Linked DNA regions of Ovis aries. The protein of the gene in region 2 purifies or fractionates together with the protein of the main gene of each other region. This does not show direct contact. Links are inferred from orthologs where the notes say so. Each region holds a gene or a part of one and is shown on either strand. Other genes may lie near its edges.

Region 1 (3,872 bases), on a different chromosome or scaffold from region 2:
CGGTCTGACCCACTGAGCAAACTGGGAATTCCCAAGCTCACACCGTGTCAGTGTATGGAGGAGAGAGTGCTGGTTCCTTGGGTAGAAGGCTAACTAACGCTGGAAGGAATGACTGTAGAAAACCACCGTTAGAACAGTCCTGATGGCAGTAATTCAGCCAGGAAATGTCAGCATGCTGAAACTAGAGGGTGGAAGCTGGATGAGAAGCGGAACGTGTACATAGTCCCCAGATGCTCCCTGATGGCTAAGGCAGAAAGGGGCTTACGATGGAGACCTGGCAGCTCCACGTGAGCCTGTCATCAGAGTTGACGTGGGGTGGTGGGGGTCTGGGGCACAACCCCTACGTAGAATGGAGGGGGGAGTGCCTGTGGCAGGCCCGTATCTGCGTCCTCCGTGGAACTGGCCTCTTACCCAAGCAGTATCCATCCAAAGTTCAAACACTGGGAAGCTCATAGTTACTTCTGGGAGGTTAGGTATGCAGGGCAAGACTCCTTCCCAACCTCAACAATAGCCTCCACCAGCACCCTCCCAGTGATGAGGTGTGAGCATCTCCCATCAGCTTAGAACAAGCTCTCTGTGGTTGATTTGGTTTTCTGTCAACACTCGCACAGAATCTGCCCAGTTGAAGGCTGCTCAGCCCTCCACAGCTTGACTTCACCTTAGGTGCTAAGTCCAGATTTCCTAAGCATTTGAGAAAGTGACTGTTTTTTTCCTAAAGCCCTGTTTGGAAATAAAATAGTTGAAGGATGAATATACTGAGTGTGGAGAGGCCATATGTGGGTCTTCCAGTACAAGAGATCCCCACCTCTGTGATCACTCACCCCTTCCTGCAGGTCTGGGTGTCGGGGCCTGGGCTCGGACCTGGGGTCCAGTCAGCTCAGTGGCTGCTCCCAGTCTGCTCTGCTGAGTGAGGCGAGCTGGCGGGGGGTGGGGGGCGGTGCAGACACAGCGCTCGTGCGCGTCTGCACACTCGTGCGCTTCTGCACACTCGTGGCTGCACCGCGCAGGCCACCTCTCCGACCAGCGCTGACCACAGGTCTTGGCAAGGTGCTCCCTAACGTGGCCATGCTGTGGGCTCACCCTTGGGCTGAATACTCTTGGACTGAGCAGCAGGTGTGCTGCTCTTGAGCCCTGGGTGTTCTCACTCAGCCAGTCCTGCCTGCAGGGTGTGCTGAGCTCTCAGCATGTTGGGAAGGGCTGGCTCCTGGTCTTGGCCAGGGCCCTCCTAGGTTCTCAGGTGTTAGTTGTCTTACCATTGAACTCTGCTTCATCGAGACTTGGGGCAGTTGGGAGACATGGTAGGGCCTTGAAGTGGTTGTTTCTGGCCCCTTGAAGAACTGTGCATTAGGTTATGGAGAGCCTAGCGTCCATTTGAAAGCCACACTACTGCACCCCAGAGTGGCGGGTTGGAGGACTTAGAGGTAAGGTGCCCTCAGGCCTTGGCTATAAGTTCCTCAGATGATGGAGCAGCCGCTTCACATTCCAGTCAGCCTTGTTCTAAGAGTCCCATATGCTGCCTTGTTAGGCTGATTTAGAGGCTCAAGAGGTAGGTGGGCAGGACCGTTTTCTTTTGGATAGGAACCAGAATTTCATCAGCTTGTGAGAGGAGCAGCTGCCTCAGCCTGGCTCTGGGTGAGCGGTCTCTGAGCTGCTCCTGCTTGCCTGGCCCTGGGCAGCACAGAAAAAGACCCCAGGACTCCTTGTTCCTGCAGGTTTCTCTGGCCAGTGTTGCCCCCACCGGTGTGCAGCATGGGGAATATCTTTGCAAACCTCTTCAAGGGCCTTTTTGGCAAAAAAGAAATGCGCATTCTCATGGTGGGCCTAGATGCTGCGGGAAAGACCACCATCCTGTACAAACTGAAGCTGGGTGAAATTGTGACCACCATTCCCACTATTGGTGAGGACGCTGGGCCTTGGGAGGCTGGGAGGTGGTGGTGGCCCTGGGGATAGGCTCACCCGGCTCTCTTCCAGGCTTCAACGTGGAGACCGTGGAGTACAAGAACATTAGCTTCACTGTGTGGGACGTGGGCGGCCAGGACAAGATCCGGCCTCTGTGGCGCCACTACTTTCAAAACACACAAGGTATGAGTGAGCTGCCCCGTTACACGCCTCAGGAGTGGGGCTCGGGGTGTCCCGGGTGCCTGCAGTCACGCTTACTGTCCCCTCTGCAGGCCTCATCTTTGTGGTTGACAGCAATGACAGAGAGCGTGTGAATGAGGCCCGCGAGGAGCTCATGAGGATGTTGGCAGAAGACGAGCTCAGGGACGCCGTTCTGCTCGTGTTTGCTAACAAACAGGTACGTGTGACTGAACACCCTGTGTGCCAGTGGGGGTGCACGTCAGGCAGCCAGCCTCTCAGGGCTGGAGGTCTGACTGGGGGGCCACAGGTCAGGTAGAAAGGGTTCCATGCACTCCCCCTGACCCACGCCTGCTGTGCTGCCACCCCCAGGACCTCCCTAATGCCATGAACGCGGCCGAGATCACGGACAAGCTGGGCCTACACTCTCTGCGCCACAGGAACTGGTACATACAGGCTACCTGCGCCACCAGCGGGGACGGGCTTTACGAGGGACTGGACTGGCTGTCCAATCAGCTCCGGAACCAGAAATGAGCTGTCATCCTCTCTCCTCCCCTCTCACTCCCTCCTTCTACCCTCGCTTTACTCTCATGTGGCAAACGTGCCCCTGTGGTGTGAGTGCCAGAAGCTGTCTCCATGGTCGGTCACAGTGTGCTTCACCATGCTGTAAATGTGCAGACGCAGCCTGCAACTGGGTTTTTATTTAATGTAAATAGTTTTTGTTTCCAATGAGGCAGTTTCTGGTACTCCTATGCAATATTACTCAGCTTTTTTTATTGTAAAAAGAAAATCAACCCACTGTTTAGTACTCAGAAGGGATTTTAGGCACACGGGTCATCCAGGAGTTGTGTGTCAGACGAGCCCAATACTCCTCCTCTGGGCTTTAGGTCTGTGTTGAGATCCATTTTGGTGGTTGGTTTTTAACCCAAACTCAGTGCATTTTTTAAAATAGTTACAAATACAAAATAAGGAGAACACTTGAACACACAGAAGGGAGAAATGTGCCTAATGTAGGTTCTGCGGTGACGGCCTGAGTCCAGTCCACCGGTGGTCTGTTTCCCGCTGGGAACATGAAGCGGGGCAGAACCAGCCGTGATACCCATTCTGCATGGTCACAGTAGGGTCCCTGTGATTCGCTCTGTCTCGGGTCCTCCCACCCCCCGTAGCGTTTGTGCTTGTATTTGTGCATACGTGGCCGCCCAGGAGATGGGGTGGAGGCTGCAGCCGCCGTTCTCAGACCCCTTGGAAGAACCCCGGCCTTTTCTCGGGTCAGCATGGGCACTTTGGTTGGAACGCCCTGGCTGGAGCGGGAGGCCTGCAGCCCCCCTGCTTGCCTGCTCCGGGCTCTCTGGGGTCTCACCAGCAGGAGTGCGGGTGGTCATCCTTGAGCCCCAGCCCCTCAGAGCCCCTGTCTACATGTGCTTTCACTCCCTCAGCCTGCAAGGGTCAGATTTGCCATTGAAAATGATAACCTCTACTTTTTTCTTTTGTATTTTGATAAACACTGAAGAAGCTGGAGCTGTTAAACTTTATCTTGGGGAAAACCTCAGAGCTGGTTTATTTGGTGTCGTGGAACCTCTTACTGCTTTCAATACACAATTAGTAATCAACTGTTTTGTATACTTGTTTTCAGTTTTCATTTCGACAAACAAGCACTGTAATTACAGCTATTAGAATAAAATCTCTTAACTATTTCATGGCTCTCTTGTGTTTGGGTGCCCCTGACAGCCTGCCCTCTGGGAGCTGGGCAAGGACAGCCTCTTCTTGCTCACTTAGTGAGGGCCACATGGCTCTGC
Region 2 (3,853 bases):
CCATCTTTTAGATTCCATATATGTGTGTCAATATATAATATTTGTTTCTCTCTGACTTACTCCAATCTATATAATAAGCTCTAGGTTCATCTACCACATTAGAACTGACTCAAATGCACTCCTTTTTATGGCTGAATAATATTCCATTGTATATATGTAACATTGCTTCTTTATCCATCTGTTGATGGATATCTAGGTTACTTCCAGGTCCTAGCTATTGAAAATAGTGCTGCAATGAACATTGGGGTACATGCTGTCTTTTTCTCTTGTGGACACATGGCTTCCTTTAATTTCCTTTTGAAAAAAAAAAAAATAGGCTTGTATGGTTGAGTGCCTGAATTACTGTACCATTTGAAACAGTGCCTGCAAACAAACTGCTTTTGTCTCAGTTACTCATTCAGGAGGACACTTATATTTCAGGGTTGTTCTCGGCTATCTTTCTGGCCCCAGTGAAGACATTCAGGATCCAGTGAGTGACAAATTCTTCAAGGAGGTGTGGGTTTCAACAGCAGCTCGAAATGCTACAATTTATGATAAGGTGAGATTTTCATATCCTCCTCCTTTTTAAATTGAATCACATCACAAAAGTATATCATTATTTCTGCATGTTATTGGTACAGAGTATTCTTAACGAGTGTAAAAACACAACATACCTCCAAATTATAATCAAATAATTCTTTGTAGACATTAAGAAAACAGAGTCAAAAAGAGCCATGGATTATGGTTTAGAAGAGACTTCAGTGGCATTCTGGTCTCAGATTCCAGAATCCCATCATGAGCATCCTTAGCAGGTGGTTACCCAGACTTTGCACATGTCTAGCAATAAAAAGAAAAAGCAGATGGGATCAAAAAATGAGTCAGACCTGGGTTCAGCCCAGCTCACACAGTTGCTGGTGGCATAAGTATGTGTATAGTAATTTCATGTTCTGAGCCTTCCTTTCTTTCCTCTCTTATAAACTGGAGGGAATATTCATGAGGTGGTCATGAGGATAAAAAATAATCTGTTAAATGTATTTAGTACATAGCACATGGTAGATTATATCCATTCTAGTGACGAAGCTTATTAATAATGAGAAACTCCCTCATTTGGACAGTTGTAATTTTGGAAAGGTGTTTTAAAACCAGCTTCATCTGTTAGGGAAGCCAAATGCTTCTTCTAGTACATTCCATCCATTAGTGATGACAAAGGGTGTGCAAGAGTTAAGAGTCCCCCAACCCTGGAACAGGTTATGTCGTGAAGTAGCTAGCTTTCCATCACAGAAAATATTCAAGCTGAGATCCATTGACTCTATCATGTGACTGTCTATCATAAACAGGATAAGAGGGCATTCTTCTGACTTCCAGACTCCCTTCAGCACAGAAAATTCATCTGTGAACACAAAAATTCATGTTTCTAATGAAACAACAATTACCTACATAGACATATTTCATACTGAGGACTCAAGGCCATGATTAAATAGGTCATGTGTGTGGAGTATTTTTAAAATGCAGGGCACAGCCTAGTTTGGATCCTGGATTGGGAGGAGTAACAGCTCTAGAAGACATTTGGGGAATAATCAGATCAATCTCAATATGGGCCATATCTTAAATGACATGAAATTGATTTTCTGAGGTGTGAGAATGGTATTGTGGATACATAGGCACATGTCCTTATTCTTAAGAAATGCATGCTGAGGTATTCAGGTGTGAAGTGTTATGTGAAACTTATTTTTAATTAGCAAAATACATGTATAACTGATAACTGTAAGTATAGGTACTGACATGAACATTTTTCAAAATAAAAAGTTAGAGAAAATATACAATTTTTCTTTTAGACGTGAACCTCCAGTGAAATGCAGGGATGATTATTATCCAAAACAATTAACCTTAAAGCGGGCTATCACTCATGAATCTCCTCACCACTGGGTTGACCTTATCCTGTGGTCGGTCACGGGATAATGCAGATTCAACATGCATGTGTGCGCTGTCACTCAGTCACGTCTGACTCTTGTGACCCCATGGCCTGTAGCCCACCAGGAGTCTCTGTTCATAGGATTCTCCAGGCAAGAATACTGGAGTGGGTTGTCATGCCCTCCTCCAAGGGATCTTCTCTACCCAGGGGTTGAGCCCAGATCTCCACCATTGGCAGACCAGTTCTTTACCACTAAGCCACCTGGGAAGCACCCCTCCCCCATAGATCAGATATAGGATCTATCTTTTTTTTTTTTTTTTCCCCATACTGCATGGTATGTAGAACTTCTCCAGCTAGGAATTGAGCCCATGCCCCCTGCATGGAAACTCAGAGTCTCAACCCCTGAACCACCAAGAAAGTCCTCTATGATTTTTTTTTTTTTTTTGATGGAAGCAAACGTAGGATTCTCTGTAGCAAATAAAAGAAACAACCCTTCAATCAGGTCTGTGATATAACATAAAACTAATATATGTTTCATAAAACATAGGCTTTGTCTGTCAGAATGAGTATTTTCCAGAAAGGGGATATGCTTTCTTTTAAACTTATCACTCAGTTTCCTATTTGCATTTTAATCAGGTGTTCCGGTGCCTTCCCAATGATGAAGTACACAATTTAATTCAGCTGAGAGACTTTATAAGCAAGCCCGTATTAGCAAAGGAGGATCCCATTAGAGCTGAGGAAGAACTGAAAAAGATCCGTGGGTTCTTGGTGCAATTCCCCTTTTATTTCTTATCTGAAGAGAACCTACTGCCTTCTGTTGGAACCAAGGAAGCCATGGTGCCCATGGAGGTCTGGACTTAAGCGTTGTGCTTGTTCGCAGCTCCGAGACTTCCACTTGGAAGAGTACACGTCACATTCGGACTTTCTGGAGACCCAACAGACAGACCCAGACCCAGAGCACACATCCACCCCTTGGATTGCAACTTTTTGGGTTAACTTGGAAGGGCTGCCGTCATACTGATGTAAGGACAGTGAACATCGGCATGGCTTTATAATTCCTCATGCCTCTCCTTGTGAAAAAGGGACTGCATTCTTAGGTAGCATATACCCAACAGCGTCAACACATATTTCAATTCCGTGATGTCAACACGTGTTTCAATTCCGTGATGTATACCAAAGTGCATTTTCTTTGCTAACAAGAATTTATCTGTAACTGATCTATGTTGCCAAAAGTTGTCTGAACCTCCTTAATTTCCTCTGATCCTCACACATGCAGCTGTTGTTTGCTGGACCTTGTATCCATACAGGTTCTGTTTGACAGTGTTTATTGCTAGAAGATGTTGTGATGCTGCTCTGAGATTCTTGAAGGTTCCATGGGATGCTCTGCCCATCTGGTCCTAGAGTCGTGGTGTGTGCCCAACCAAGGATGTGGTCCTTCTTCCTTTCCAGTGACTGAAAGGGCTGGACAGACCTTAGTCTATATAGCAGCCCATGTTAGGTACTTTTGATAATATTGTTGGTGTGTATCTTGACACGACAGAGCAACAGGAAAGAATTAAATTTGGTTATTACAGCAGAGATTTCACTTTACCTCCAAAGGCACCGACAAGATGTGTCCTTATGATAGGGCCCACCGGATCAGATTTGAAAACATGTGTAGGATATTTGATTACACAGCAACCCATAAAACTCAAAGACAGAGCATATAGCCTTCAGAAATCACCAACATGTTGGTGGGAATCAGATTCAGATAAGGAAAGAACATTTCTTACAGTCCTGTAAAATTTCCTGCCATCCTTAGCTGCCAGATTGATTGAAATTGGAGTTTCCACATTTCAAAATAAAACCAGAAAATACAACTTGTCTTTCAAGAGAATCAGGGGCTTCATAACTCATGCCAAGTGAATGAGTATGAGCCCAGCCTTATTTGATATTCAGCTCTCCAGCTATGCTACTTTCTAG

What was found. Proteins that work in one complex are often made in the same cells at the same time.
Region 1: the proteins of PLD1 (region 2) and ARF1 purify together in Homo sapiens (affinity purification with western blotting; 3 studies listed by BioGRID, with this or other methods). This does not show direct contact. The link is inferred for Ovis aries from reciprocal best matches to the Homo sapiens genes PLD1 and ARF1.

What each region holds. Positions count from the first base shown.
Region 1 is NC_056058.1:2,769,908-2,773,779, reverse strand, and holds ARF1 (ADP-ribosylation factor 1), read left to right. Parts: upstream 1-1,749; coding exon 1,750-1,897; intron 1,898-1,971; coding exon 1,972-2,082; intron 2,083-2,171; coding exon 2,172-2,296; intron 2,297-2,448; coding exon 2,449-2,610; downstream 2,611-3,872. UniProt on the Homo sapiens protein: Small GTPase involved in protein trafficking between different compartments. Modulates vesicle budding and uncoating within the Golgi complex. In its GTP-bound form, triggers the recruitment of coatomer proteins to the Golgi membrane.
Region 2 is NC_056054.1:216,595,626-216,599,478, forward strand, and holds part of PLD1 (phospholipase D1), read left to right. Parts: intron 1-420; coding exon 421-538; intron 539-2,527; coding exon 2,528-2,752; 3' UTR 2,753-3,853. UniProt on the Homo sapiens protein: Function as phospholipase selective for phosphatidylcholine. Implicated as a critical step in numerous cellular pathways, including signal transduction, membrane trafficking, and the regulation of mitosis.